Linked DNA regions of Oryzias latipes. The protein of the gene in region 7 purifies or fractionates together with the protein of the main gene of each other region. This does not show direct contact. Links are inferred from orthologs where the notes say so. Each region holds a gene or a part of one and is shown on either strand. Other genes may lie near its edges. The genes, in order: exoc2, ras-related protein Ral-B, exoc3, exoc1, exoc5, exoc7 and exoc8.

Region 1 (4,249 bases), on a different chromosome or scaffold from region 7:
CAAATGCATTGGTCTCTGCTTCCGCTCCTCTGAAGAGCCAAAACTGCTGTGAAGCTCTCCACAAATGTGAGCAGGATGTAAACATACAGTGGTGGACAAGATTGTTGGTACCCCTCAGTTAAAGAAAGAAAGTCCACAATGCTCATTGAAATGACTTGAAACATTCAAAAGTAACAATAAATCCAGAGTGGACTTCATGGGAGGTGACCAAGGAGGACACCACTGTTGAAAGGAAATCATAAAAAAGCCAGACTGGAATTTGAAAAAATGCATGTTGACAAGCCACAAAGCTTCTGGGAAAATGTCCTTTGGACAGATGAGACCAAACTGGAGCTTTTTGGTAAGGCACATCAGCTCTATGTTGGTAGACTCAAAAATGAAGCATACAACGAAAAGAACACTGTCCCTACTGTGAAACATGGAGGAGGCTCAGTTCTGTTTTGGGGCTGCTTTGCTGCATCTGGCACAGGGTGTCTTGAAGTTGTGCAAGGTAAAATGAAATCTTAAGATTATCAAGGCATTCTGGATAGAAATGTGCTGCCTAGTGTCAGAAAGCTTGGTCTCAGTCGCAGGTCATGGGTCTTCCAACAGGACAACTATCCAAAACACACAGCCAAAAACCCCCAAGAAAAGCTAAGAGAAAAGCGTTGGACTATTCTGAAGTGGCCTTCTATGAGCCCAGATCTGAATCCCATTGAACATCTGTGGAAGGAGCTGAAACATTCCATTTGGAGAAGACACCCGTCAAACCTGGGACAACTGGAGCAGTTTGCTCATGAGGAGTGGGCCAAAATACCTGTGGACAGGAGCAGAAGGCTCATTGACAAATACAAAAACTGTTTAATTGCAGTGATTGACTCAAAAGGTTGTGCAACAAAATATTAAGTTACGGGTGCCATCATTTTTGTCCAGCCCTATTTCATTAGTTTAAACAAAAAAAGAATTCTGTTAATCAACAACTCAAAAGTAATGGCTGATTTTGATTATCAAATTTTCAATAAATTTTAATTTATTGTTACTTTTGAACATTTCAAGTCATTTCAGTGAGCATCGTGGACTTTCTTTCTTTAACTGAGGGGTACCAACAATTTTGTCCATCACTGTACATCTATTTTAGGTGTGGTTCAAATACACGCATAGGGATGTTATTTTATATTCTCTAATACAGTCAATGGTCCACCCCTGCTTACCCCATCCTTACCCCTGAAAAAGGAGGGATTGAAATAGACTTTATCACTTATTTTCATCCCCCCCCCCTCATCTCAGAGGTCTTTTAATTATTTTATGCCATTTTTAGGCAAAGTCTAAAAACCTGTGTTAGTTTCTAGGACATAGTTTCTGTAGAGCAGCAGTCGTTCATTAGAAACTCTCCTCTGAGTTGTGGGTGGGACCGTTGGCGTGAACCAAACCCCTTCCCTCCCGGTGGCTGAGAGCTTTAAGCAGGGAGCGTTTGGCGTATTTTCTACAGCTAAAAAAGCTAATTTTCAAACTTCATTTTTTTTTCTGTTCCTGATTCGCAACGATTTGAATAAAGAAATACTGAGAAATGCAATTAATTTCTTTATATACATGTCCTCCATCTTTAGAAAAATGCCACAGACACATGTTAAAATACCAAAACACCATTTTCTGCAAACTAGGTCTTCAAAAACATGTGATTATTTAACAAAACGAGTTTGTGCTGGAACAAGGTCTTGGGCTTAAATTACAATCTAACTTTTCCTTTCTTTTATGAACAGGAGCAGCGTTTGCTGATCATTCTGAGCAACTGCCAGTACCTGGAGAGACGCACCTTCCTGAACTTGGCGGATCACTTTGAAAAGCACGGCTTCACGGGAACAGAGAAGATCACGCGGGTCAGTACCTGCTGCTGTGACCTGCAGCTGTTACACTCCTATTGAGGAGAAGTGTGGAGGCGTCATGAGAAGAAAACAAACTACAACAACTAAACTGATCTGTGTGTTTTTTTTCGTTTCTCAGCAAAGGGATGACTAATGAAAAGAAAAAGTCACACTTTTCACCTCTGTTCTCAACATAGTCACACTGCTGCACACAATGACTAATGGCTGAATCACAAAGCTAAGAAGGGTTTGATCTGTTGATTTTCCTGTAAAAACTCACTTTATTTGAAAGATTAAGTTAAAAGTTTGAATTAGACCCGAAAGCATGATGCCTATGATAATTTGTCTAGACTGCTGAGCTGTGCTGCTCCACATTAAACACATTTAACGGTAAACAAGAAAAAGAAGAAAGTATTGAAGGGTTGTACCACTGCTGCACATGCTGCCTTTACAGCATTATTAATAGGAGCTGGTGTCAGAGCAGCATAAATAATGCTAGCAGCTGCTCACAAACACACCATGTGACCAGTTCAGATTGTGCTAACTTATGTAGTGTGCTAAGTTGGTTCTTTTACTCTTTGTCTCAGTCTGGTTTCTTTGCAGTGTTACTCCAATGTCAGATTGAAGGATATACAAGATTTTAAAAAAATCCATCTTGATGCCTGAAAAATTAATTTAGGAGGGTTTAGACCTATTATTTATAAATAAAAATTGGGGGGGGGGGGGGTCTATTTCAATTAAGCCTCAGTTCAAACCATTGACTATATTTGAGAACTGGACTGAGTGACTCCTCCCCCCTTGCATTCCAAACAGGAAGTACCTGCTGGTTCCAAGAAGCTAGACTTTTTCAGAGAAATAAACGGCTATTGCTCAATCATTCCATTTGTAGGAATAACCGTTCTTACTCTGCTACATTTTTTGCTAATCCTCTTTATTTACCATTATTATTATTCTTTATTTCAAGTTATTCAAGTATATTCACTGAACAATCAGATGCCTCAATGAAGGTATGCGTTTTAAGTCAATTGTTTGAAAAGTTTGATTGACAGATTCTACCAAGACCACTTTCAAAAGATAGGGGTGTGACCTTTCAACAAGCTTACTCCTGGTTGGCAAGAGTGGTCGCCATAGAAACGATGACTCAAACTGATTTGGACCAATCACTGCTTACTTACGATTTCTGGCTCCAACATGGCAACATCTACATTGCGAAAAAATGGCGACTGAATTGACTTCATTTGGTTGGAGCCAGAACAAAGTCAGTCCAGTTCTCCTTTATAGTCAATGGCGTAAGCCAACTCTTTCATAATATTTAATTCCATCTCTCTTCCAGCCAAGAATTAAGCTGATGGCAAAGAAAAAAATAGTCGATCATAGTATTAAACCTTTTTTCTTTTCTTTTTGAAAATCTTTGTGTTTCTCCACACTGCAGAACAACACAAAGAGGAAAAAAGATTCATAATAACACATTTCAATTTTTCTGCTTTAGGTTATGCTTATGGATGTGTTTAAGACCCAGGTCTGGATGTCACTTTGCTCCTCAGCCAAGCATGTCAAAGGATAGTAAACATTAGATCCGTTCAAACAGAATCTCTCTGGAATGAAAGCATAAGTACTGCATTCTGCTGCTCTAAAAGTGCAGGAATGGATCCAATGTTAAACGGACATTTAGCACACATTTGTTTGTTTGTACATTTGTTCACACTGGACTGTCACTACCCATACTAGCGCATGTGCCTAAAGTTGGAAGAGGCTTGGTTCGAAATGTCAAAGCCCTGCAAACCTTATGAATCTTGCTACAATTCTCACAGTTCTATTCTGAGATATGAAAGACTTGCTGTCATAGAATAACGGCTGAGCCCAACGTGCAGCTGTTAATTTCTCTTCCACGATCAATTTTCAAACGTTGGGCACTTCCGTCAATTAAAGGGATGCCATCCATGCGTCACTACCAAATCAGAGTCTCTGATTGGTCAAAGATCAAACTTGTTTAACTTTCAACATGCTTTTGATGACAGCATGTTTTGTACATGGAGCCTAAAAACAGTCCTAAAATTGTGCGTAGCGACACATGAATGCTAAAGTGTTGAACACAGATGCCCTAACGCACATATATGTGCGTTTACAAAGACTTTTCAATGGAAGTGATCTCTTGAACGTGTTGCAGATGGCGATGTAAGCAGCTTAATCCACTTTTTATTCTTTTTAATTTCTTTTTTACTTTCCACTTACAAGGTCATGTCCAAAGAAATAGATGACAGCAGCCATCTTTCTCTTTCCCTCCTCGTCCTCCAGGTGAGCATGGACGCCATCCGAGAGCTGGACCGGAAACTCTTTGAAGCTTACATCGAGCGGCGTGCCGACCCCATCGCCGGCTCCCTAGAGCCTGGAATCTACGCTGGATACTT
Region 2 (4,805 bases), on a different chromosome or scaffold from region 7:
CTCAGCCATGCGGTAAATTTAAAACTAAGACTTCTGTGGCACAAGACTGGGATATGAGACTCTCTGCGGTTTGTTTATCGCAACACAACAAACAATACATAATTTAACAGCAAATCCCTCCCGGGGCCGAGCAGAAATGTGTTTGGTCTTTGGGATCCAGCATCTACAACAGCCACAGCCTATGGAGATCAGGAAACGATTTACTATTCTTAAGAGGACGCCACGCAGCAGCAAAGAAAACATTTTCAAAAAGCATCGCACGACGAATACTAACAAGCCCCGGCAGCAGCAGCACACAGAGACGCCTTTGACTAAACTGGGCAATGAGACCTAAACCCCGTTTGTTCAAATCCCTCAACTTCAGCATCAGATGTGTTTGGTGTGGGGGGGGGTCAGGATTCAGAATGTGTGCAGAAATGGCTTCTGCGTTCACATCAGACAGCTGGCTCTCCCTCTGAAGCCGAACAGGACCGTGGTGTCCAAACACATCTGCCTCAGCAATCAAGGATCCAGAACAAGCAGGGAGGCGCTCGCGTTTCAGCATCGGGTTGGACACAAACCTTTTGACTTCTGCTAGGAGAATCGCTCCGTTCACTAACTGACAGGACAGAAGCTGCATTCCTTCTTTATCAGGGTTGTGTCCGAATTCCTTCACTACTCCCTACATAGTGCCCTGTATAGTGCCGTCGACATTTTGTGGTGCTGTCCGAATGCGATTCCAAAATGCCCTAAAAATTTCCCAGAAGTCTCTGCGAAAAACTAGTGTGCATCAATGCTCACTAGATTGGCGAATATAGACCACAATCCATTGCGTTGGAACAATTTACGCCCAAAAATGTAGTTAAATGTATTTTTTTAATAAACCATTTTTATCTTCAGAAAACAGTGGATTGATAAATTGCTCATATTAATACAATTTTAACAATGTGAATTTGATGACGTCATATCCGCCGTTTAAAAAAAAAAGAAAAGTAGTGAGCATGGTGTCCGAATTGCTTTTAAAATTCACGGCACTAGATTCTGCTGCACTATAAAGTTTTTTAGCAGTTAGGGGTTAGGGTGGGAATTGGGACAGAGCCTAGGTCCTGCAATGCCTTCAGTTAACCAGTCAGCAAACGCGAACAACGCTCCAGAGGAAACATTTTCTATTTGGGCCTGAAAGACCTGAGAGGGCTGAAGGTCAACTTCTGTGTTTACAGCTAAACACTGGTGTCTATTTATAAAATACTAGGATAGCGGGTTGTTTCGTGAAAGCTAACCTTTCCGTTTTTGCCATCAGTGCGTGAGAAACATCAGTGTTTTCAACGCTGTCCTTGACTGGAGCACCAAACAGCATCTTCAGAGAGCCGGTGTGTGAACATGTCAGTAAAAGGGTAGAAGGAGTGAGGAACTGTGGGAAGATGAAGATGTTATGGCTCAAAGTTTCAACGTTTCTCAGCTGGACTAGATATTTCCAACTGATGTCTGAGAAGTAAAGACCTGAAAACGACTTTTAACATTCTCATTCTTGCAGTAAAAATATTTAAAATTAGATTTGAAAAACTGGATTATATAATTTTTCTGCTTATGTGTAATAAGTTTTCTTTATCCACGACAAAACTTCTTGCCAGATGATTCTTTAGAAACACAAATACACACTAAATACTTTTTTTTCAATGATTTAGAGCTTCTTCAAAAAAAAAAATTAAAGATGATTACGTTTTATACAAAAAGCTTAAAATCAAGCAAAAGAGATGAAGGCGATAAAAATCGAAAAGCTTTGAAAAGTTAAATTAACACAATAAAACACATTATTGCTGACCTGTGGCGAGGACTGCAGAGTGGATCCAGAAAAAATGATTCTTATCTTTTTACAATCTGGTTACATCTGACGATTGGAAATAAAACAAGATGATTAGAAATATGACCAAATGCAACATGAGCCTTTGAAACTACTTGCTAATTGAGATGATCTACATGCAAAGTGTTTTGCATTAGTTGTTTTTCTAATTGAAAAAAGTTAGTTACACTAAAGTATAGTCTTCTGTGATGGGCATGTGTCAAAAACAGTTCAAAGTATCTTTAAGGTTTTGCAAAGGGACTGGAAAAAAGCTGAGTAAGGTCCTGGTTTTCCTGACTCTGCTGGGAATGTGCTGGGATCAGCATTGTCTGAAGGAGTCGTTTATGACGAAGGGGAGGGGGGCACGGGGGCGTCCGTGTGCAATTGAACACTGGCAGTTCATATCCCTGCTGGAACATTTAAAATACATTTTAAGGGATTCCTATTGATGGGAGTGTTCCTCAGACTGGGAAAGGTGTGTTTTGCTTTGCCAACAGAGTCCTTCAGTCTGACACACAACACTGTCATCTGCAAACATACAGCTCACTTTTATGTATTCGCACAGAAAATAGATTCAGCAACTTTTATTTGCATCTGATTTTCAAGTCTGCTAATAATCAAATGCATGAAAGGTGGTGGATCTAGAAAACACCTGCCGGTCGGTGTTTTTTATAGACTAGTATTGGCTTGTTATCTGACCAGAAATAGGTTTTAGTTTTGACATTCAAACGGCAACATGATGGCATGTCCTCCCATCTGAATATCATAAGCTGTTCGGTCAGAGAATATTATCCAGAACTCCCGTAAACATTAACAGACAGAAGCGGAACGACAGCAGTAAAGCTAGCGGTAGACCCGGACTTAAACCCGTTATTGCCTAGCAACGGCCGCGCAGCCAGGGAACTAACGGGAACGACTGAGCCAGTCCGCTCAAAACCACAAAACTGATGGATAACCGAACTTTAAACTAATTTATTTGAAACCAACAGACAGATGAGAACAAATAGCAATGAACACATAAAAACCTGAGTAGTTACGGCTCTGTCTGTCTCTCTGGGGCGGTCATCTCTCTGTCAGCCACCTTCCCTCCCCTTTAACATCACGCGACGCTTCTTTCTTTACATGTCCATAAACCCAGAAACACAAAGCTGCTTCACCTCTTCCAATCCGTTTGAACATGTCTTACCGAAAAAACACGTTGTACTTTCAGCCTTCAGAAGATGCTCTCCTCCCGGCTGCTTCCCTGTGACTGACAGAAGCATCGGAGCTACAAAACTGCTGCCAGCAGCAGTCCCCGCCTTCCGGAAGTCAATTCAGACCGAACGGCAGGAAGTGACGTCAGGACAGATTTCCGTTGGAGGAAAAATAACTGGACTTGCAAATACCTGAAAGGTTTTTTTCCTGGACGACAGAACAAAAACAATATACTGCAGAAATTTGAACAAAATGTTACTAAATAAAGAACCGCTTTCATGAAACTTCATATTTCCCCAAAAGTTAAAGAAACACACTTCAAAATTATGAATGATATTTATCCCTCCAAAGAATTACTTAGATTACGTTTCAACATTGATGACAACAGCTGTTCCTTCTGCCAAACTGCTGTTGAAGACATCGACCACACATTTTTCCTGTGTGGTGTTGTACAAGTGTTCTGGTTGGATGTTTGCAAATGGTTAAAAAATAAATTCCCATTCATCATGGACTTCTTTTCGAAAGAAGTAACAATCTTTGGCCTGTCACTACACAACAATGTAAATAATGTATGTATCAACACTGCGTTATGCTTAGCCAAGTTTTTTATACACAAAAATAGGTTACAGAAATGTCATCCCAGCTTTACTTTCTTTACCAATGAGGTCAATTTATACTTACAATCCATAACGTTAATCGATTCACCTAAAGCCATAACAGTTTATGACACCTTGCGTGATATTCCCAGTATCTGAGACAATTTATTTATCTGTTGTATTCCCCTGCATTTTGTAACACTATCCAACTCTGAAATTGTTGTTTTCTTATGTTATACTTTTCCCTAATTTCTCTATGATTATGAATATGGATAGGTTTATGTATGCATACTGATAAGAATTTTCTTTTTTGCTTCCTCTCAAATTGCGTTATGCTTTCTTGTATCCACCATATTTTGGGAATTTTATGTAAATGTTCTGGTGTTGTTTTGTATTGTGCTCAAAAATAATAAATAAATAAAAAAAAGGACTTGCAAATACCTTTTTATTTTTGTTTTTCGTAAATCAAATGTAGTTTACTGTCCACTGTCACTTTTTAAACTATTTGGATCTTTTACTGCACCACAATGTCACAAATGTAAATAAAAATACCTCAGCAGTTATTAGGTCAGATTACAAACAGGTAATCAGTAATTAATCCTTTAAAACAAAACGTTAGTGCTGTGTATGACAGCACTAACGTAAATCACAACTGATAAGGTCAAACAATACACTTAACAACCAAAGCTGTTTGGGTCTGGTGAAGTGGTTCAGGTCAATGATTTTGAAGGTGCAATAACCGTCTTCTCCACCAGGTGGTGCCAGAACATCACAAAATGACCTCTTTTTGTAAACTCTGGCTGTAAATCAAACTACATCATGTGAGAGAATTTTCACCAGGAGGGGATTTTCTTCTAAACGTCATGTTCCATTTGGGTTTGTTACGTCAAGGTCAGATCTCATTTTCTGTCCTGAAAGTCACAGAAACCGTTTGACGTTCTTGCAGTGTTTTTGCAGAAGGGAGTTGCTGCTAAAGGTTGTTGTCCAATGACAATAAAGTTATTTTTCTTTAGTCAGTTGGATGTCACACAGAAGGCACACTTACACTGACCTGCATCACTCCCCCTCTTTGGCTGGAGGCTCTTTCGTTTACCAACAATGACAGTTCTGTGCTGGGAGCCGCATTTCCCATCATCATGACGGCGTTTGCACTCGCTTGATTTCATGTTTTCTCTCATAAACTGAAGTCTCACAGA
Region 3 (4,249 bases), on a different chromosome or scaffold from region 7:
AAAGCACACACTCACCTGAGCAAACCTGCCTGCTCTGCACAGATGTTTGTATGAGAGCAGACGTCCTGGATGTCCAGACCAGAACTCAATGAAAACCCCAAACAAACAAATTAAGTTTAGTTTTAATTAAAAAATGTGTTTATCTAAATATAAATCTGGTTGGCCCAACTTAACAGATCCCCAATAGTAAACCTTGCAGACCAGAACCAGCAAACCACCAACCAGGCCTGCGAGATCACAGACTTTGGCGATGACTGCGCCGTACCTGAAAGACGATGGCGGGCAGAGTGGTCTGGTAGTACCCGTCCTGGTCAGCCTCGGGCTCGCTGTCTTTGTGCCAGTCCTTCTTGTCCGTTTCCAGAGCCTTCCGTAGCCACCCGGTTATATTCAGCTGCAGGCACAAACCCACAGTCACGTCAGCATCCCGTTTGGAAGCCATCAGCAACCAGCAAACCAGAGTTTGGGTGAGTTAGTGAGGTCGCGGTTGTGCACATGCACGTGTTAACCTGCAGGGTTGGGTTGGCCTGCAGAGCTGCTGCTCAGAGGGAAAACACCACTCGAGCGACAAATGCAGGGAACATTTTATTTCAGTTTTCTCTTAACCGAGAGTCACAGAGACAGACTGGATCTGAAACAGTGACACCCACAAACAGAATCTTATGTAATTATGACTCAAGGGGGCGGGGCCCCAAAAGCCCATCTTGGCTATACATTCATCTTGTGGTGAGTTCAGTGTCTGTGTTCATGCATTTTTTCAATCAGCCTTCAGCCCTGTTAGAAACAAGATCTCTGCACCGCTCAATGCTTACTGTGAAGGTCTGGATGTATTTACTCAGCAGGTGGTCCACAACCTCCTTTGGTAGCAGAGGCTCCAACTGGTTGATGTCACACTCTGAAAACAGATCTGGATGCCCCATCATCTCCGCGCTGAAACACAGAGCCACCCTTTGTCTGAACATGTCTCCTCCATGTGTGGCTGGATGGATGGATGGATGGATGGATGGATAAACAAACCTCTTATAGGTGTTCAAAACCCAGGTGAGCAGCGATACAATCTCATTGGCCTCCAGGTCCTCAGAGGCCAGTTCTTTGACTCGAGCAGACACAGCAGCGTGGTAGAGGCTAAAGAATCTGAAACCAGAAGAAACCTTCCTGATTGCAGGACATTGCTGAGGAACACGAGCGCTCCCGCAGTCAGAGCTTCTCAAGAACAGTCAAGAGAGCACTGATCGGTGATGGGACACTCCAGAGTCTCAAAACACTCCAGGAATTTTCAAATGAAAAGAAAGAAGCGTTCAGCTGCAACCACTTTTACGGTTCAAACCCTAACTGGCATTTGTGCATCAATATTTTACTTTAAAAGATGGCTTCGGGCAGAAAAGATGATGTAAACCATTGACAGTAAATGAGAACTGGATTGAGAGACTCCTCTCCCTGCCATTCCAAACAGGAAGTACCTGCTGTTTCCAAGAAGCCAAAATCCCACAGACTTCTATACAGAAATATGCATTATTCAAGTTATAAACTGGTCAATCAGATGCCAATCAATAAAAGTCTCCCGAACCTGCTTCCAGTGGAAGGGGTGTGGCCTGCTAACATACTCACTCCTGATTAGAAAGAGTAGTTGCCATGGAAATGTAGACGGACCAATCATGGCCTTATTGAGGACGTCTGCTTCCAACATGGCGATGGACACATCGCGGAAAAATAGCGACTCAATTGACTTCAAATGGTTGGAACCAGAAGCAAGGTATTTTCCGTGGCTGACATCACAGTTATGTATTATACAGTCAATGTGTTGGACCTGTTACCTGTTGAAGGTGTTGTAGTGAGGGGGGAAGCACTGCACCATGAGGTTTTTGACAATGATGAGGTCATCCACCACGTACTTCCTGGTTATCTCCAGTAGGCGAACCAGCCACATCTTGTCCGCCTCCCTGGTCACGGACTGCGTGCCCTCGATGCGAGTGCTGACGGTGTGCTCCAGAACCTGCAGAGCAAAGAGGTTGCAGGTTCTAGCTTTCCTGTTGTTTGAGTTGAAGCCTGTGAGACCGCGTGAACTCATTTACTGCACCATTACCAATTCTATTTTGGTTTGATTCCGTATCAGGTTCTTATAGAAAATCCAACACTGAAAACAGAGCACACTTCATCCTAACACGAGATGTTCCCAGAGTTCTAACAGAACTACGACGCGACTGTTGGACCTGATGATCATCAGACAGGCGAGGCCCAGATTAAAGGGAAGAACTTCTTAAACATGTAAAAGAATTCAATTCTGCTGAGCTTTGATGAAGGACCGCTGGTCTGGCTGCTCCTCTGACCTGAAACATCTTGTCCTTCCAGTGTTTGGGTCTCCCAGGTGGGATGAATCCGGTCTGTTTCCTTCGGTCAACCATTCGCCGATCAATCTTCTCCTCCCGCTCAATGATGCGAATAACCGACACCAGCATGGTGGGGTCACGGCGAACTGTGACCATGGACCTCTGCAGAACCATCCATAACTGCTTGGCCAGCTCATCTGACAGCGATTGAACCTTGAAGAAGCACAAAGACAGGTGGCAGTTCAGTTAACAGCTAAAACAGTTTATGTCCTGATAAGTATCTGAACAATCGAATGAATGATAGCTTCATTCATGGGAGAAGCCAGCTTAAGTCAAACAAACTTGTGCTTAAGAGTGGAGACAAACACCCATTTACAACTATAGACCTGTGTCTCTCCTCCCACAATTCTCAACAATTTTAGAAAAATTTTTTAATGATGAATTAGTTGTAGTTTTTGATAAACATCACCATCACATTATAAATGAAAACCAATATGGTTTTAGAGAAAACAGATCAGTCTCATTGACTATCATGGATGCGTGGAGGAAATCACAGATGTTCTGGACAAAAAGAAATATGCAGCACAGACATTGACTTTAAAAAAGCATTTGACTCTCAATCAAGAAATCCTACTTGACAAACTGGAAGGGTATGGGATAAGATGACTAGCACTAACTTGGTGAAAAGCTATTTAACGGGAAGAAAACAATTTGTGAAGATTGATGAATTTACATCAGAAGCCAAAGGGATAAGTTGTGGTGTTCCACAAGGATCAATTCTGGGCCCGCTGCTATTTAATATTCAAAGAGATTCAAAGAGGTTTATTATCATATGCACAATAAAGAAACGGGTTTCCCTGTACAATGAGATTCTTTCTTTGCTGCCTGCTCCGAATGCCAAAAGGAGAGGAAACTGAAGAAGAAGAAAAAAAAAAAAAGAAAAAGAAAAATTCAAACACAACATACGCACAAAACACAAGATGTCGGGTGGCAATACTAAAGTGCAAAAGTGACAATAACAGTAGCGGACAGTGGGGATGTGCAAAGGTGCAGTTGTTGTTTCAGACTCCTGTCAGCTGTTAAGGAGTCTGATGGCAGAGGGAAAGAAAGAGTTTTTGAGTCTGGTGGTCCTACACTTCACACTCCTGTACCTCCGTCCTGAGGGGAGGAGAGTGAACAGTCCTCGTTGCGGGTGGGTGGGGTCCTTGACAATGGAGGCAGCTCTCCTGCAGACCCTGCGTTTGTATATGCTCTGCAGCGAGGGCAGAGGAGTCCTGGTGATCTTGGACGCAGTCTTCACTACTCTCTGCAGGCGTTTGCGGTCCACGGCGGTAGAGCTGCCATACCACACTGTGATGCAGCTGGTTAGAATGGACTCAACCATGCAGCTGTAGAAGTTACTGAGGATCTTTGGGGACATGCCGAACCTCCTCAGCCTCCTCAGAAAGTACAGCCGCTGATGAGCTTTCTTCACCAGCTGTGATGTGTTTAGTGCCCAGGTGAGGTCCTGGCTGAGGTGGACCCCCAGATATTTGAAGCTGCTCACCCTCTCCACTTCCAGACCCCGGATAAGAAGCGGCTGATGAGGGTTCCTTCTCTCCTTCCTCATGTCCACTATCATCTCCTTTGTCTTGTCTGTGTTGAGGGTGAGGTTGTTGTCCTCACACCATGTCACCAGACTGGCCACCTCCCTCCTGTAGGCTGCTTCATCCCCGCCAGTGATGCGTCCTATCACAGCGGTGTCATCAGCGAACTTCAGGATGATGTTGTCCTTATGAGAGGCCGCACAGTCGTGGGTGAACAGGGTGTAGAGGATGGGGCTGAGAACACAGCCCTGTGGTGTGCCGATGTTTGTGATGATGCTGGCTGAAGTCCTGTTCCCTATTCTGACAGACTGAGGCCTGCCAGTCAAAAAGTCCAGGAGC
Region 4 (4,249 bases), on a different chromosome or scaffold from region 7:
GGAAAGCAGCCCCCCGCCGCGCCGGAAGAGCCCAACGCAGGGCCCCACCGGAGAGGGACGCCCACAGCCCCAGACGAGCACCCCACCACCACCCAGGAGTTCCGGGCATCCCCCCGCCCCGACCCCAGGTACGAGCCAGGACCCCCCAAGGGAGACCCGCTCCGCACTCCAGGCAGCCACCCACCCGGCCCACGGTTGGTCCAGGTAGGAGCAAGGCAGGGGCCCGCCGCCCCCGCCCAGGAGGGGGGAACCCCGGGGAAAAAAGGGCGGCCCACAAGGGATGTTATAAATATGGCCCGACCAGGCTCGGCCATGTTGGAAGTTTGGCGGGGCCCAGCGCCCAGGGGCAAGGACCAGGACCCACCCCCCAGGGACACGAACACCCCCGGCTCAGGTGTAATATGAACCCCCCCACCGCATGCTTATATTATTGTTATGGTTATTATGAAGCGCCTGTTAGCTCATCATTTTATTTTTTATCCGTGTGGTCAGTGCTTTTTTGCGGCAGAACGAAACCGGAAGAATGGTTAGGTGAAGGCTAACATGCGCTAACAACAACATTTAGCCTGGATGAACATAAAATTGATGCAGGAAATGCCACAATCTGCAGCTTGGCTGAACGTAAATATGTGGGAATAACATAAGCCTTTCTTTTGTCAGGACACGACTAGAAACACAAATCCACGTGTTTGAACGGTTTCTAAGGACTGAGCGGCATTTTGCTTTGAAGAGCTCACACACTGCCAAAAAGCCGCTGTGTGAGATGGAGACGTGGTTCTCCTGAATTCGGCTGCTCGTTCACATAGTGCTGCGGGACAGATGGCAGTCTGTAGCCTCCCTCCCGTAACAAAGCATCCTCCCCGCCCCTCGAACACAAAAAATTAAGTCCGGCTGCGCTGCTCAGAGACACGGTTCGCTCCGTCCACCAGCAGCCGCGCCCCGCGTGCAGGGACTGGACGTCAGGGGGCACGAAGTGCTCTTCCCTGGTGCCCCCCTCGCGAGGGGTGTCGGAGAAGATAGGAAGGGAAAGACAAGGAGCCCGCGGGGCAAGGGCGGAGCGCAGAGGCGTCCGCGGAGCAACGGTGTGACACTGTTGTGGAAGGAAACTTCTAGCGCATGCCGCGCTGATAGGGGCGCTTTAAAGTCACTACTGCTCTCTTTTACTGGTATGTTTTATTAACCAGCCCCTTTACTACCATATTGCTGCCGCGGAAGGAGATAGGAGCTGCTCTCCCGTTCTCCCCTCCTTCCGTTGCAGCTCCCTCCTCTTTTTTAAACATGCACGCGGTTTCAGCACATATACAGTGAGGTCAATAAGTATTTGATTACCCTGTGATTTAGAAAGTTCTCCCACGTTCTCCCAGAAAACATGGAGGGGTCTAAAATTTTTATCATAGGTGCATTTCCACAGTGAGAGACAGAATCTGAAAAAACATTCAGAAATCATGTTGTACAATTTTTTTAAACAATTTATTTGTACATTACTGTGACAAATAAGTATTTGATCACTTGGGTTAAACAACTTTAATATTTGGTACAGAAGCCTTTGTTAACAATTACAGAGGTCAAACGGTTCCTGTAGTTCTTCACTAGGTTTCTACACACTGCAGCAGGGATTTTGGCCCACTCCTCCACACAGATCTTCTCTAGATCTGTCAGGGTTCGGGGCTGTCGCAGAGCAACACGGAGTTTCAGCTCCCTCCAAAGGTTCTCTATTGGATTTAGGTCTGGAGACTGGCTAAGCCACTCCAGAACCTTAATATGCTTCTTACGGAGCCACTCCTTGGTTTTCTTGGCTGTGTGCTTCGGGTCATTGTCATTCTGAAAGACCCAGCCATGACCCATCTACAACGCTCTGACTGAGGTAAGGAGCTTTTTTCTCAATATCTCACAATACAGAGCCCAGTTCATCCTCTCCTTCACACAGTGCAGTCGTCCTGTCCCCTGTGCAGATGATACTTCCACCCCCGTGCTTCACTGTAGGTATAGTGTTCTTGGGATGATGCTCCTCCTTTCTCCTCCAAACACGCCGAATGGAGTTAAGACCAAAAAGTTCTATTTTGATATGCTTCTTACAAGGCTTCTTACTGACCACAAGACTTTCTCCCATGACTCCTCTGGATCATCAAGATGGTCATTGGCAAACTTCAGACGGGGCTTGACATGGGCTGACTTCAGCAGGGGAACCTTCCATGCGATACATGATTTTAAACCATGACGTTTTAATGTATTACTTATAGTAGCCTTGGAAACGGTGGTCCCACCTCTCTTCAGGTCATTGACCAGCTCCTCCTGTGTAGTCCTGGGCTGATTCTTCCCCTTCCTTAGCATCATCGATACCCCACAAGGTGAGATCTTGCAAGGGGCCCCAGTCCGAGGGACATTGACAGTCATCATTAGCCTCTTCCATTTTCTGACAATTGCTCCAACAGTTGTTCTTTTCTCACCAAGCTGCTTGGCAATTGCCCCGTAGCCACTTCCAGCTTTATGAAGGTCTACAATTTTATCTCTTGCGTCTTATGACAGCTCTTTGGTTTTGCCCATGTTGATAGTTAGACTTCTGACTGATTGTGGGGGGGGGCACAGGTGCCTTTATGCAAGCTAACCACCTCAAACAGGTGCCACTAATTTAGAATCATGAGCAGAGTGGAGTTGGACTATTTAAAAGCAGAACAGCAGGTCTTTGCTGATCAGAAATCTATCTGATAATCAAGTGATCAAATACTTATTTTTCACAGTAATATACAAATAAATCGTTTAAAAAAAAATCATACAACGTGATTTCTGAATGTTTCTTCAGATTCTGTCTCTCACTGTGGAAATGCACCTATGATGAAAATTTTAGACCCCTCCATGTTTTCTAAGAGGGAGAACTTGCTAAATCACAGGGTGATCAAATACTTATTGACCTCACTGTACATCCTCAATCTACAACACAGTGTGGCGACCTGAGGGATAGCCCCACCTTAAGCCCCCAAGACTCATGGGAAGTGAGTAATGACCATTTTGTTGTTCAGTTATTTAATTTGTCCAATTACTTACCAGCCCATGAAATGAAGGGATTGTGTTTAGAAAATGCTTTAGTTTTTCACATCTATGTCAACATATTTATGGTCCTGACTGTAGGTGGATTGATGGTCATGTTCATGTATTTTATACCAATTGCAGTTGTCACCTTAACCCCCAGCTTCTTGCTGATGGTTCTGCAAATCATTCTGGTCTTGTGCAAGAGTACAATCGTCGCCCTTTAATCCACTGAAAGCTCTTTAGTGTTTCCCATGTTGGAGAGTTTGGAGTCTGACTAATGGACTGATTCTGTGGACAGGCGTCTTCAATTCAGGTAACAGGTTGATTAAGCGAATCTAATTGGTCTGTGCGAAACAGAACTCTTAATGGTTACTTGGGCATCAAATACCGTACTTATTTCCCTCAGTGAAATGCAAATAAATGCATATTAATTCATTAAAGACATTTTCAATTTCTCACTGTTCAAATGAACCTATCATTAGGATGACAGGCTGTCTATTTTTAAGTAAGCAAACCTTCAAAATCAGCAAGGTATCAAAAAAGTATTTCCTCCATGATTATTTTAAAAAGAAAAGTTCGTACTTGAATTTTTTTTACATGGAAATACAACATTAAATCCACATCTCATAGCAGCTTTTAGATGTCTCTGACTGTATTCTTCCTTTTTTTGTAAACCTCAGCAGAAGTACTGGTAAAGAAGTTCTAATAATGGCGAGTGTGTTACCTGGTGGACAAACACGTTGTTGAGGTGATTGGTGAGGCGGCGGGCAAATGTGTCCCTCAGATCGGTAAACATCTGCTGCTGTTGTTTCACAGACAACAGCTTTTCATGGCCTGAACAGAGAAAGGTGCACAACTTTCCATTCAAACGAAGACAAAAAACAGACGATCACGATAACAAGGCTTCATGTAAATTTACCTGGTCGGAGGGCAACATTCATGCACTGCAGAAGGGCTTCAGAGGCGTTGATGCAGGCCTCAATTCCTTTAGAGGAGGTGAGGTCCCCATCCTGCAGAGCTCTGATGTGTCCCTTAGACAAGTCCATGTAATTCTGCATGAAAAAGTGAGTCAAAGCCCATCTGAGAAACTCAAGCTCAATTCTCTGACACCTCTGGACTGATTCAAAGAATTTGTTACCACTAAGAACTGGATCTCATCCAGAAGTTTGCCGTTGTTAGTGTTGCTGATTTGAATTAGGCGGTTGCTCTGAGAGATCTGGTC
Region 5 (3,882 bases), on a different chromosome or scaffold from region 7:
CGTCTCATGACTTACTTTAACGAGTTTTTGGATGGAGATCTGCGTAGCGATGTTTTCAATGACCCAGACAAGGTGAGATTATCGTCTAGTTTCTTTTTTTTTTTTTTTTTTGCTGTCATATATGAAGAGGTATGTGTGGGTGTGAAACCACTGATGAGGGGCCCTGCTGGGAAACTGCTGTAGGTGAGTTTGAACAGGATTATGAGTTGAACCATCCATGGAAATTTATAAAGTTTATCCCTTTAGTTGGATCCCTCAGTTAATTTGGATTAATAAACTGTCATTTGCTGTCTGACAATAGCCGGCTGACTGACTAGCATGGATGTCAACACGCTCATGTCAAACCTAATTGCATGTAAAGTGGGATGACTGGGATCAAGAATTTGATTGGTCAGCTTTGCAACACACAGAAAGTTTGTTGCAACACATTTTTTTAGTCATGGAAAAAATGATTCAATGTTTTCTCAGAACAAGTGACCCCAGAGAGTTTGATTCTGCAAAGTAGACACATTGGGGTTTTTTTTGGGTTTTATGTGTGTTTGATGCAACATCTCAACCAGATGCAGAGAGGGAGGTTTGAGGGTCAATCCCACAGACGAGAGCTTGAGATTGAGCCATGCATGCAGATGTATCAAGCCAGATTCCTTTTTCCTGAGCATACCTCCATATGAGGAGGAAAGAGAAAAACTGCAAGTGAATAGCTGAAGGGGAATGGCTTTGCTAATCCTTCTGAAAGGGAGGGCTGGGCCGCCAGCGTGGAGACAAGTGCTGCTAAACCCTGACTGCAGGGAGACGGCTACATTACTTACATGGGATTTAGCTAATCTTAGCTGGGGGACAGATACTTAGAAAACCTTCGCCGAGCAGAAAGGCTGGATCCTCCTCACGGGAGCAGAGTAATGATGTTAGCTGAGACAGGCATCTGCAGGAACAGAGGAGTTGCGGACAGCGGACCTTTTGCGGGTCTGGAGGTTTTTTCGCCAGCATGTATGTCAGGAGAGGTGGAGAGGGCGGGGTGGAGGGGTATCTCGGCAGGGCCCCCTTTTTTTTAGACAGATATCCCTGGCCGGACAGATTATTGAAGGCAATTCAGACTCCTGTGGGATTACAGCCCATTCAGGAAAAAGCCATCCCAATAAAGACTTGGATGTGCTGCTAAGTCAGGACTGCTGCTGTTGCTGCTGCTGATGCCCAGGTGAGCGCAGCCTGTCTGTTATCAGCTCCCTGTTAAACACAGGAAGGTGGAGGAAGGCTGCTCTAAGATGATGATCCCCCAAGTGGAGACACTGCCGGCGGCCGCCCACTTGATAATGGATGTCCACCTCTAATGGCTTTGTTGTGCTCCCTCTCTCCTCCTCCCTCAGCTGGCATCTCCCTCGCTCCCTCTCAAACACACACTTGTTCCCTCTCTTTCAGATTAAGGAAGCTGCTGATATAATTCAGAAGCTGCATCTCATTGCCCAGGAGCTGCCATTTGACAGGTGAGTCAGGCATCCTGGAGGCAGCTTTAGACAAGAGCGCTGTCAAACAAGAAGGAGGAGGTGTATTAGTCTATTCCTGAAAAGTGTAAGCCCCACAGAAACATTAAGCATTAGATGGTATTATTGACTAAGATGCCCCCAAAGAAACTTTCCTTCTGTTTTTTTTATATCTATTGTTTCTAATTGCGCACTTTATCTGTAACAGATTTGCAGATGTCAAAGCAAAAATTGCAAGTAAGTTTCTGACCGGGTCGATCGTCCTCCATTTTTACTACGATGTAACACGCGTTTGCGACATTTTAAGGTTCTGTTTTCATTCCTGCCCAGGCAAATACCACGACCTGGAGAGGCAGTTAATCCAGGAGTTTACTGCAGCCCAGCGCAGGGGTGAGATTGGTCGTATGCGGGAGGTTGCAGCAGTTCTATTACATTTCAAGGTGACCTGGAAAAGACATCTGAAGACACGTTGACTGAGTGTTGGAGTCATAGCCTGTCTGAAAACATCAACTTTGAATGTTATAGTCATTTTCTTGGACTATCAAGGTGGTAACGCCTGTGTTTGTCTAAATAGGGTTATGCACACTGCGTGGACGTCTACATCAAGCAGTGTCAGGAAGTGAGTACTTCAAGTTTGGCAAGAAAAAAGTCTGCCTTTGACTTGGCTGCTTTAATTGACCCATTTTTTGTTGTTGTTCCTGTCTCAGGGTGCCTACACGAGGAACGATGTGTTTGAAGACACCGCAGCGCTTTGCCAGAGGGTCAACAAGCAGGTGGCCGAGGTCTTCAGCAGTCCAGAGACAGTCATGGCTAAACTCATCCAGAATATCTTTGAAAACAAACTACAGGTATGTTTTCCAGTGATTGAGTTTGGATGTGCCATTACTTAAACATTTGTTGATTTTTGGCTGGCTGTTTATTTTACAGGCGCACGTTAGAGAGAAACTGGATGGAACTCGACAGTCTGATGCAGAACAGTACCTCAAAAACCTCTATGACCTTTACACCAGGTGGTTTTGCTTGTCTTTTTCTAATTTACTTCCTGTATGCTCTATAACTCTAACACTTTTTGTTCTTATCTGTTTCTTTTCTGACCTTTCAGGACCACAGCATTGGCTACCAAGCTAACAGAGTTCAACCTTGGTTCAGACAAGCATACGTTCCTTTCCAAGCTGATAAAAAGCATCTTTTCCTCTTATTTGGAAAGTTACATTGACATGGAAAGGGAATACCTTCGTAATCGAGGTGCCATGATTCTGCAACGATACTATGACTCAAAGAATCACCAGAAACGTGCAATAGGCTCTGGCAGGTACGATTTAGCATAAACGTCATGAAGCATTTCAGAATCAGAAATACTTTATTGATCCCATACGTGGGAAATTTGTTCGTTACCATAACAACTGACAGGAGAAAAGACTAAGAATAATATAATTAATAATATAATTTAAAAAAAAAACAAGAACAAGGAAAATGTGGTATCATTTAAAGAGCCATTTTTGGTCTCAAATAAACGTTAGGGTTTCATACAAAAAGATCAAAATGCTAAACGTTTTTTTGTTTTTACTTTAGTATTCAGGAGCTCAAGGAGCGCATCAGACAGCGCACCAACCTTCCACTGGGCCCCAGCCTTGACACCCATGGAGAGACCTTCCTGTCCCCCGAGCTGGTTGTTAATCTGCTGCAGGAGACTCGGCACGCGTTTGAGAGGTGTCACAGGGTGAGCCTCTTCTCCTTCTGTAACGTGAAGGAACATGTATAAACGCAGACTTTGGTGATTTTTTGTTTTGTTTTATTACAGCTTTCAGATCCATCTGATCTGCCTAAAAATGCCTACTCCATCTTCCTACTGCTGGTTGAACATCTGTGTGTGGACCACATCGACTACGCTCTGGAGATTGGCCTTTCAGGTACTTCTGATGAACCAAATTGTACTCTTAAACTGCTTTCTGAGGGCTCATTCTTCTCACTATTAGGAGCTTCAAAGCAGTAGATTCAGGAAGTTGGGACATTAAATAAAGCATAACCTGAGGATCTCCCACAATAATGAAGAGCTAGAAACATTTTAGAGCTAGAATCTCTTTTTCACTAGCCGATAAGCATTAACATTTAATGATCAATATAGCTTAAGTTTGCGTTTGCTGCATTTTTCCTAAATTTTCAGCGATTCCCTCATCCGATGCCAAGAATGCCAACCTGTACTTCCTGGATGTTGTTCAACAGGCAAACTCCATCTTCCACTTGTTTGACAAGCAGTTTAATGACCAGCTGATGCCTCTTATAAGGTCAGTTGTGGTTAAGAATTATCATCTTTGTTTGTTATGCATACTCAGATTTCAAATTACCTTATTTATTTATTTATTTATTTTTGGGGGGGTTCTTTGAATTAAATTTTCTAAACCTG
Region 6 (4,249 bases), on a different chromosome or scaffold from region 7:
GGAATATCTGCTCCTTCTGTTGGTGGATCTCTGTTCAAAACTTCCTGAAAATGTTCAGCCCAGCGGGTATCTTGTTCTGCTTCTGTTGTGAGAAGCTTCCCCTGTTTATCTTTAATTGGTAAGCTGACAGTAGAGTGGTGTTTTCCACATACTTGTCGACTAATTCTGTACAGCTGGCCTTGTTCTCCTCGGGTTGTAGCTCTTTCTGCCTCCTCAGCAAGCTCCTCAATATATGCTCGTCGATCGGCGCGCACCATTCATTTTACTGTCTTATTGGCTTAAAAAGCAGTGGCTACTCAACACAAAAAAGCTGAACCTTACGGTAAAAGGAGAAACTGAGATGGTTCGTTCTCCAGCTAATATGAGATTCTGCACTTATCTCTGTGTCTCCAGGTTTGTTTCTATTGGTTTGCAAAATTCCAGGCAGATTCTCGCCATTCTCCTCTGTCATTTGGCAGGAACTGTCTTCCTGTTCAATATTTCTCTCTCCTGTCCCCCACTGTAGCTAAAATCTATCAAATTCTTGACATGAGCAGGCTGGAAAGGAAGAAATGGATGCCTGGCACTGACTTGAAATTTGAATTCCCTTTGGGTGCTCGTGTTTGTGTATCTGCCATGATGTTTTCAGACAGACAGGTGGTGGGTGGACGTCTGCAGAGCTACACAAAGGAGCAAACCTTGAGATGCCAGCATGGCTCCTGCAGTCTCGTGGAAGTCCAGCAGCTGCTGCAGGAACAGAATGGCCTGAACGGAGACAGAGAGCTCAAACAAGCGGCAAATAACCGGAGAGGCAGTGCAGAGCAGAAACCAAGCTTACGTTGCTGGTGAGCTCATGCACTGTTCCATCTTTGGGCATGTTGTACTCTTTATCAGGATCATTCTGTAGTTAGTGGAGAGAAAACCCATGTAAATGACCAGCAGCCAATAGACAAGGGGTGGTTTAAGTGGGAGCCGCATGCCTTAATGCTGTCTGCAAACTCTTCCAGTGCTTTGGCTCCAATCGTCTCCATGGACGTGATGAGCGTTGGCAGTTTGTTCTTGGTGCTCGCCGCCGTTCCCTGCACGTCAAATCAAGTACAGTCGCTAAACACCCCAAGACCAGCTTCTTCCAGAAATGAGACGCCGCAGACCCAACCTGAAGTGTGGAGTCAAAGTCTGACTTGTTCATCTTCAGATGTCTGAGGATGGGGAAGATGGTGAGCACCGCCGAGTAGTCGTGGCGCATGATGGCCCTGCGAGCTGCAGACACAATGTTGTCTCCTTCCAGCATCAGGTTGTCCAATGCTTCCTGTGGACAGACATGATGAAACTGAGCATGCAACCAGAATGTGGCTTAGGGAAAAATGTCCTGCTTTTAATCATTAAAATCCTTTCAGCCAGATAAAAGGTGTCCGTGTCTATGGTAATCTATGGTATCAATGGTCAGATACGGTGAAGAAAAACAGTAAGAGTGACTAAAGAGTTTTTAGCGTCAACTGCTCATCTACTGGACACTCAACCAACAAACAGAGAATGACCTAAAAAAGGAAAAAAACTGGATGGTTGATGTCAGCAATCAGAGGAGAATGAGGTTTCAAATTTGATTGTTGCTTTGGTTTATTTTTTCTTGACTGTGGAGTTTCATTACTGTAGATGGTAGGGAAACCTTTAGCAAATGACCAACACCTGGAACCTCAGGTGGATGTTCTACAGAAGCTTTACTTTCAACAGCAGCACCTGATTAAATCCTCAAGAGCCCTTCCTGCATATCTGATGCTGTACTTCTGCCCGGTGATTACAGATAAAAGGATTGTTGAATACTTTTGTGTCACTACGTCTAACCCCTAAAACCAAATTGTCTGGGAAATCCTCAATGAAAGCTCCCTGGTTTGACTCCTCTGACCTGGATGAGGGAGTCAAAGGTCTTCTTCTGGTGGTGTTCAGGGATGATCTCGGTCAGCAGGGCGTACTCGCTCTGAGCCAGCTTCACAAAGGCACTGATGCAGTGGATGTAGGAGTCGATCTCGATGTCAAGAACATCGTCTTTCCCTAAGAGTTGCATAACAAGAGCTCCCGTCAGCTGACAAAACATAAGACAAGGATCTAAACAACAACTTCAGCCCGGAGTTTAACTTCTTACTTTATAAGAACTTGATTGTTAAAGGAAGAAACTGAGCTGAGGTTGCCTCTCTGATCAACCTCTGAACTTCTGGAATTCGTCACTCACCTGGGGCAGCCCCATGCTTCTCAGTCAGGGCCTCAGTGATGTGTTTGACCCGTGGGTCATGATCGTAACCTGGTGGGTGGGGCGGGCCAGCAGGGAGACTAGTCAAAACGAGGTCAAGACTAGGCTAAGAGGGGGGAGAGGGGACAAACCTGACCTGAACCGCCCACCACCAAGCACCAGAGAGAAAAGGCAGGGCGTGCCCACCCAAGATGAGTGAAATGTAAACTGGTTCTGAACCAGTCTACATGTTAAACTGTGGGACAAAAACCAGCTTCAAATGTCACAACAGCTTTGGATTCATTGCAGCTTTTGACAGATTTCCTGATGGGAAAATGGGAAAACCCCACGTCTGACACCAGTTTATCAGTTGGATGGGAGTTTAAGCAGAAAATGAATTCTTCTTTCCTGATAACTTCCCGACCCGACTTGATTGAAAGCTATTAATGGGAGAAAGGTCTCATGTGTTCATGGTCTACCGGTGCGAAGCCCATTGAGACGACTGTTGTTTGAATTTGGGCTCTACAAATAAACTTGAATTGAATTGATGCATAAATGAATCAATCAAAAAAGACATTTTAAAGAAGTAAGAGGTCAGATTTGGGTGCTTGTGCCACTTTTGACTTTATCTTCATCATATCAAACCTTTTAATTTCATTACTGATGGGATTGCTGGTTAATCTGTAGGTTTTCTAAAAACATGTCTTTGTGGGGGCAAAGGACGGAGTGGAGACTGAATTACATTGGAATAATTGAACTTAACATTGTTGGTGTAAATGCATTTATTTTGCATTTTTAGACAACCTAATATTCAAAGCCGGGTCAACTAAAATAAAAAATCCGTTTGAACTTTATTAAAAGAAATTTTTTTAGCAGAGCCAATTGACTTCAAGTGAGGTTTGTGTTAAAAACGCCTGAAGACAAATGTTTGCTTTAAAGCAGTGAAGCAAAAACATATTTGTCAGCCACAGATTCCTCAGGTCGTCCCTCTAAAAAGCTGAGTTTGGTCTGAGATGTTCATCATAGAAACACTTTAATGTGAGAGACAAAATGTAAAGAAAGAATGCAGGAAATCACAATGTCTGATCTTTAAATAATGATTGTATAATGGAGCAGAAAATAAGGATTCATCTAGAAGCCAGCAAGGATTCAGTTCCTCACAGACCCGTTCCTCCTTCTTTAAGAAGCTCTTCTATCCTCCACTGGTTACCTGTGTTCATGTCACCTGTTTGAACTGGTTACCTGTAGAAAAGACACCTGTCCACACCCTTATACAGGCAGACCTCTCCACCAAGGAGCTGTCTGAGGACACCAGGGACAAGTTTGTACACAGTCCAGAACTACAGGGGGAGCCGGTCAACGACCGGCCTGATCCGTATGAAGCAAAAGGGGAATTGGGTCACGTATGGGGAGATTTTGGACAAAAACCTCCTTCCAATAGGGAGAACATCAGGGATGGAACATGTCTGGATCTTCCAGCATTACTAAAAGAATCCCCCAAAGATCACCCAGCAAAGTAAAGAGTGTCTAAAGGATTTCAGGGTTCTAGAGTGTTCCAACGGTCCCTGGACCTCAATCCATGGAGAATCTGTGGAGGGAGTGGTTGCCCAGCAACAGCCCCAAAAACAGCACAGCTCTAGAGAAGATCTGCATGGAAGAATGGACCAAATTAGCAACTACAGTTCAGATCGTCTGAAAATCTTCAGGAAACCTTGTGGGGAACAGGAGCCAGCCTTGTGCTGTTTCTTACTATATAATGTTTTTTTCAACTTTTTTTTACTATTTCCCTGATGAACCACCCACAATGGAACTGCTACTGACAGTTACAAAAAGTCTATCGGTTCCAAACCTTTGACCTCTGTCATTGGAACCACATTACAAAGTACTGAGATGAACTTTTCTCAGTGACTGAACATTTATTTTCTGCTCTATTATACAAAGAAACTCAAACATTGTGCTTTCTGGATTCTGTATTCACATTGTGTCAAAATGTTTCTATAATGAACATTGCAGACCAAAGTCAGCTTTTTCAGAGGGATAACTTGC
Region 7 (4,701 bases):
GTTTCAATAGACTTGAAAAATAGATATCTACTCAAAATGGAGTCCATGTTTTTGCAGTAATACACACAGGTGGTAAAGCCTTGGACACAACTGCCCTGTGGTAGAAAAATAGGCAAACCTGTGTGGGGCTGTACAGCCAAGTGCTCTTGCACATTTTGTCTTTGGGAATGCTGCAGGCAACAGGTGGTAATGAATACTTATACAACATAAGGGAAAGGAAGGGTGAAGTAGGTGAGACGCAGCCATGTTCTACGTATTTTATAGTTTTCTTTACCCCCCCAAATCCTGCGCACGGTGCTGTTCAAGTGATAAGTGCGCACTCCTTCTGTGTAGCCTGACTGTTATGCTAACTCCACACTGGGCATGCATGGCGCTGAACGCGGGTTCTTGAACGCACTTTCAGCATACGTGCTCATACTGGACTGTCGCTACCCGATAGTAGCGCACAGTTATAAGATGCTTCCTGCGAAATGTTGAAGCGGTGCCAATCTTGCTCCAGGCTTTTTCTTTCACAGCTCTATTTTGATAAAGGAAGGCCTTGGTGTCATAGAATTTTGGCCGGGCACAAACCGCAATTAGTATTTCACCTCCAAGATTCAGTGTTTTGAAAAGGATGCTACTCATACCTCACTACCAAATCAGAGTCCTTGATTGGTCAAAGTACAACTAGTTAAACTTTCAGCACACGTTCGATTGCGTGTTTTGTACGTAGAGCCTGAAAACTGACCTAAAAACCTGCGTAGAGACGCGTCAACGAGAGAGCTTTGAACGCGGAGGCCCAAAACGGGCTTTTACGTGAGCACTTACATAGAATTTTCATTGAAAGTGGTCACTCAAACACGCATTTCCAAGCCTGGTGTTAACGTAGCATTAGAAATTTGATGATAATGGTGTAGTTTGTGTGAGTGTCCTGTCCTACGGACACTTACATGTCAGCATTTGCTTGGAGTCAGTAAGGAACCAGTACTCACTCATTAACCCTTGTGCTGTCTTAGATGACCCCACCCTTACATTGACATGTTCTCCCTACCATGACAAAGGTGGATAAAGGTGGAAAGATTTCATGTAATCCATGGACACCAGTGAAGATCACAAATCATTGAAGAAAAAAGGTTCAGCGAACTGTCTAGTGGGTCTAGATGACCCAACTCCCAATGTTAAAGTGCCTTGGATAGCACAAGGGTTAATAACGACTACAGTGTGGCAGTTTGGGCGGTGTTCGGCAACATCACCCGTATGTTATCAGTGCGTGTAACTTATGTTAGCCTTACAAATACTTCACAATATGCTTACCATACACAATGGTAGGTTCCATTTTCAAGGGAACTGCAAGACACACCTGTGCTCCTGTTAAGATGCGCCTTAAACTGGCCGGTCTACTTTCTACTCCCCTCCACAGACCTGGACAACCCAAAAACCCAGGGCACCTGTACAGGTCAGCCCCCGTACAGGTCCATGTGGCTAAAGCTTTAGTGACTCTGAATTGACCTTTAGGTGTGAATGTGTGAACTTGTTTGTCTCTGTGTGGCCCTGTGATGGAAGGCGAACTGTCCAGGGCGAACCCCGCCTTCACTGAAGAGTTGTTGGTTTAGCTCCAGTGACCCCATTACCCCAAACAGGAGTAAAGCAGGATTACACTGGTTGGTCCCTTAAAATGTTGACCTTCAAAACCTAAAATTAAATTAAAAGAAACTTTTTTTCAACATCACTTCCCCGCCTGACAGATCCAGAAGAGTGGGCTTTGAACACTTTTTTTTTTTTTTGCAAAACAAACGACATTGATGCTCCTAAATAAAAGTTTGAATTAAAAATGTTGCCTTTTTTTTGGCTTTAACGGACTAAAGAAAATGTTTTGGAAGTTAGTCAAACATCATCTCTTCTCTGTTTCTCTGGAAATTAAGAAAAGAACCAAACCAGGACCTAGTCTGATGAGCTGGGACACGGCACGTCGGGTCGCTTTAGGTCCACCACGGAGTGACCGATCCGGAGACAGCTCGAACACCAGCACCTCAGTCAGCTGTCGCACCCGCTCGTCCACCTTGGACCTCAACTCCTTGACCTTCTGAGTGGAGGGCTGGTCCTTCAGGTACTCGTTCAGTTTGTCCAGCAGGTCCACGGCTCCCTCAAAGTCCCTCTGGGCAATGCACACGTCCAGGTCCTCGGGGAGCTCCTGAATCCACTCGATACCAAGTTCTGCGCTTTCCTCTGCATCTGCTGGGTCCTCGTCCTCCAGGTCGAAAGGGTTGGTGGACACCTCAGATCTGATGGGGGACGTGGGAGCCTCCTCTTCCTTCTTGTGTCTGTCCTTAGACACCTTGTTCTTTTTGGTTTCATCAAGGATCTCCAGCCACTCCTTCTTGACCTTGCTGTTCTCTGCCTGGAAGATGCGGCTGTCCGGGAACATGAGGATCTTGAACATGTCCTTCATGGGGGGATTGTCCTTGACGTTGACCACGGCGAAGCTCTCCAGGTCGTACAGGTCGCTGTATTTGTACTTCACGGTGCCTCTGCGGTTGGGCAGCCAGGTGGCGATCAGCAGACAGTCGTTCATGAGGAAAGCATGGACCTTCTGGATGGGGGACATGTTGTCCACGTCAAACTCAAAAAGGTCTCCGTTGTAGACTAGGTGCCTCCCCGGGATGTCCATGATGTTCTTGGCTCCTTCGACTTTCTCCAGCAGAGAGGTGAGCGCCCTCTGCTTCACCTCCTCCGTCTCTTTGGGGAAAGCAGCCTGCATCTCCTTGGAGGTCTCATCCTTGTCTGTGGACAGCAAGGCCTGGGTGATGCTCTCCATGATGCTCTTCTGCTCCGTCAGGATGTGGCTCAGCTGGTACATCTCGCTCTCCAGGTAGGAAATCTCTTTGGCGGTTTCAATGAACTGCCTGTAGTTCTTATAGACATTTTTCTTCAAATTCTGGGCCGTTTCGTCGGCCAGGTTTTGGATTTTTTGCCGATGCTCCTGCAGATCCCTGTCGCCGTCGGACTGCTGTGACAGCTGTTTGACGTACGTTTGCGGATCGAAATTGGGAGATTCGAGAAGTTTCCGCAGCCGGTTCCCTGTTTCCGACATCTTTAGCTGTGTTTGCAATTATTTACGAACGCGAAATATTAGTAAAATGGCTATGAAATGTACGAACAAGACGAGTGCATCGAAGCTCCTTTTACATCCGCTTTCACTCCAACAGGAAGCTGTAAGCAGCAACACCCGAACGTCACGTGATCAGAAAAAGTTTAAAAATAAAATCGTAAAAAAATTATTTGATTATCTTTAGGCATAAGATAATATAAATTTTTGATTATGATTCGTAAACTTTATTCAATTGTAACAATTGAATAATTTAATTTAAATATCAGATATATGTTTACTAAAGTTCCCAGAACCCATCGCTAATATTTGTGCTAGCGATGCTTGCAATCTTTACCGGAAGTGGTAACCAAAGCATACAAAATAATTACATTGAATTATAAAAAAAAGATCACCGTCAAAGCTACCCAAATTAAACTATTGAATTTTTCTTTTTACTATATATATTGATATACTGAGCATAAAAAAGTGCCCATGTTATATATATATCACAGTGTTTTAGTTTAGACAATTAATTTTAAAACATATCATTATAATAGACAAAAATGATTAAGTAACCATATTTGGGACCAAAACGCCTTTAATAACTCATTTTTTTAATTTGAAAAACAATCACGTACGGGACTTCGCGGAACTTGACAGCAGGTTAGACCAAAAGACAGAGTAAAATTGCATTGATGCAAAAACAATTTCCTTAAAAGCTACGCGGCTTTCAATTTCAATTAATAATATACTAAGAAAACACATACGTGCCTACGTTTAGATATTCAAAATACTTTGAACAAAAACTTTAATATGTTTTATTGTGAAAAAAATAAAATAAAACATTACCGGAAGGTTTGTGGAAGATGACAGGAAGTTGTTGGCTCCAGCTTCTTACTCTTTTTTATTAAATTGTTTCCGTTTTTATGTTTAAGCGTCCGTTTTGCGAAAAAATGATGACATAAATTCGTTTTTTTCTTTATGAGTTTACACTGCTAAATGTAGTACAACTGGCGCACTGATTGGTTTTTAGAAGTTCGGGTTAGCCAAAGCTAAATGGCAAAATAGCAGCAGTGATGGACGAGGACTTTCTGCTCGCCGTTCAGCTACAGGAGCAGTTTGACCATGAATATGAATCTTCACTGGTTTCATCTCTAAGTTTTAACGAAGGGGAGTTCGGAAACAACAGCAAAAAGCGGAAAGTGGAGCTTGCCGGTGGGGCCAGGGATAGAAAGCCAACTTCCGGCGTTGAGCGGCCGCTAAGCATCGTGGATGATTCCTGGGAGATGCTGGATCCCAGCCCTGATGTTAGAGCCATGTTTTTGGAGTTCAATGACATGTTCTTCTGGGGCAAACTCAGCGGAGTGGAGGTCAAGTGGAGTCCCAGGATGACCCTGTGAGTCTATTCTGACTTTGGACATTTGGTTTAAGCTGTTTCGGAGCCTAAACTGACCTCACCGATTTAGATCAAAACTAAAACACAATGGATTTTTAATGGAAACGTTGAAACAGGGAAATAAAAGCTTTAGAGAAAGCAAAAAATTTTTTTTTCTCAAATAAAGTGGACAGATTTTGAAGAAAAAGCTCAATAAGTCAAAGTCAGCTTTATTGTCAAGTATGCAGCATACATACAG

What was found.
Region 1: the proteins of exoc8 (region 7) and exoc2 purify together in Homo sapiens (affinity purification with mass spectrometry; 7 studies listed by BioGRID and IntAct, counting the BioPlex papers as one, with this or other methods). This does not show direct contact. The link is inferred for Oryzias latipes from reciprocal best matches to the Homo sapiens genes EXOC8 and EXOC2.
Region 2: the proteins of exoc8 (region 7) and ras-related protein Ral-B purify together in Homo sapiens (affinity purification with western blotting; 6 studies listed by BioGRID and IntAct, counting the BioPlex papers as one, with this or other methods). This does not show direct contact. The link is inferred for Oryzias latipes from reciprocal best matches to the Homo sapiens genes EXOC8 and RALB.
Region 3: the proteins of exoc8 (region 7) and exoc3 purify together in Homo sapiens (affinity purification with mass spectrometry; 5 studies listed by BioGRID and IntAct, counting the BioPlex papers as one, with this or other methods). This does not show direct contact. The link is inferred for Oryzias latipes from reciprocal best matches to the Homo sapiens genes EXOC8 and EXOC3.
Region 4: the proteins of exoc8 (region 7) and exoc1 purify together in Homo sapiens (affinity purification with mass spectrometry; 3 studies listed by BioGRID and IntAct, counting the BioPlex papers as one, with this or other methods). This does not show direct contact. The link is inferred for Oryzias latipes from reciprocal best matches to the Homo sapiens genes EXOC8 and EXOC1.
Region 5: the proteins of exoc8 (region 7) and exoc5 purify together in Homo sapiens (affinity purification with mass spectrometry; 5 studies listed by BioGRID and IntAct, counting the BioPlex papers as one, with this or other methods). This does not show direct contact. The link is inferred for Oryzias latipes from reciprocal best matches to the Homo sapiens genes EXOC8 and EXOC5.
Region 6: the proteins of exoc8 (region 7) and exoc7 purify together in Homo sapiens (affinity purification with mass spectrometry; 4 studies listed by BioGRID and IntAct, counting the BioPlex papers as one, with this or other methods). This does not show direct contact. The link is inferred for Oryzias latipes from reciprocal best matches to the Homo sapiens genes EXOC8 and EXOC7.

What each region holds. Positions count from the first base shown.
Region 1 is NC_019862.2:21,227,844-21,232,092, forward strand, and holds part of exoc2 (exocyst complex component 2), read left to right. Parts: intron 1-1,739; coding exon 1,740-1,856; intron 1,857-4,136; coding exon 4,137-4,249. UniProt on the Homo sapiens protein: Component of the exocyst complex involved in the docking of exocytic vesicles with fusion sites on the plasma membrane.
Region 2 is NC_019870.2:7,306,572-7,311,376, forward strand, and holds the start of ras-related protein Ral-B, read right to left. Parts: upstream 3,149-4,805; 5' UTR 3,006-3,148; intron 1,868-3,005; exon of another isoform or gene 1,802-1,867; intron 1,391-1,801; exon of another isoform or gene 1,260-1,390; intron 1-1,259. Other genes in the region: nepro (nucleolus and neural progenitor protein), read right to left, coding at 4,799-4,805. UniProt on the Homo sapiens protein: Multifunctional GTPase involved in a variety of cellular processes including gene expression, cell migration, cell proliferation, oncogenic transformation and membrane trafficking.
Region 3 is NC_019875.2:5,005,436-5,009,684, reverse strand, and holds part of exoc3 (exocyst complex component 3), read right to left. Parts: intron 2,538-4,249; coding exon 2,325-2,537; intron 1,991-2,324; coding exon 1,812-1,990; intron 1,132-1,811; coding exon 1,015-1,131; intron 928-1,014; coding exon 810-927; intron 392-809; coding exon 266-391; intron 1-265. UniProt on the Homo sapiens protein: Component of the exocyst complex involved in the docking of exocytic vesicles with fusion sites on the plasma membrane.
Region 4 is NC_019862.2:97,679-101,927, forward strand, and holds part of exoc1 (exocyst complex component 1), read right to left. Parts: coding exon 4,166-4,249; intron 4,080-4,165; coding exon 3,947-4,079; intron 3,862-3,946; coding exon 3,752-3,861; intron 1-3,751.
Region 5 is NC_019880.2:12,941,240-12,945,121, reverse strand, and holds part of exoc5 (exocyst complex component 5), read left to right. Parts: coding exon 1-72; intron 73-1,416; coding exon 1,417-1,481; intron 1,482-1,686; coding exon 1,687-1,715; intron 1,716-1,808; coding exon 1,809-1,918; intron 1,919-2,052; coding exon 2,053-2,097; intron 2,098-2,185; coding exon 2,186-2,326; intron 2,327-2,405; coding exon 2,406-2,488; intron 2,489-2,580; coding exon 2,581-2,790; intron 2,791-3,050; coding exon 3,051-3,198; intron 3,199-3,279; coding exon 3,280-3,388; intron 3,389-3,642; coding exon 3,643-3,763; intron 3,764-3,882. UniProt on the Homo sapiens protein: Component of the exocyst complex involved in the docking of exocytic vesicles with fusion sites on the plasma membrane.
Region 6 is NC_019877.2:22,402,777-22,407,025, forward strand, and holds part of exoc7 (exocyst complex component 7), read right to left. Parts: intron 2,276-4,249; coding exon 2,207-2,275; intron 2,029-2,206; coding exon 1,883-2,028; intron 1,289-1,882; coding exon 1,136-1,288; intron 1,059-1,135; coding exon 960-1,058; intron 881-959; coding exon 818-880; intron 745-817; coding exon 678-744; intron 1-677. UniProt on the Homo sapiens protein: Component of the exocyst complex involved in the docking of exocytic vesicles with fusion sites on the plasma membrane.
Region 7 is NC_019882.2:17,525,193-17,529,893, forward strand, and holds the start of exoc8 (exocyst complex component 8), read right to left. Parts: upstream 3,198-4,701; 5' UTR 3,071-3,197; coding exon 1,921-3,070; intron 1-1,920. Other genes in the region: sprtn (sprT-like domain-containing protein Spartan), read left to right, coding at 4,144-4,463. UniProt on the Homo sapiens protein: Component of the exocyst complex involved in the docking of exocytic vesicles with fusion sites on the plasma membrane.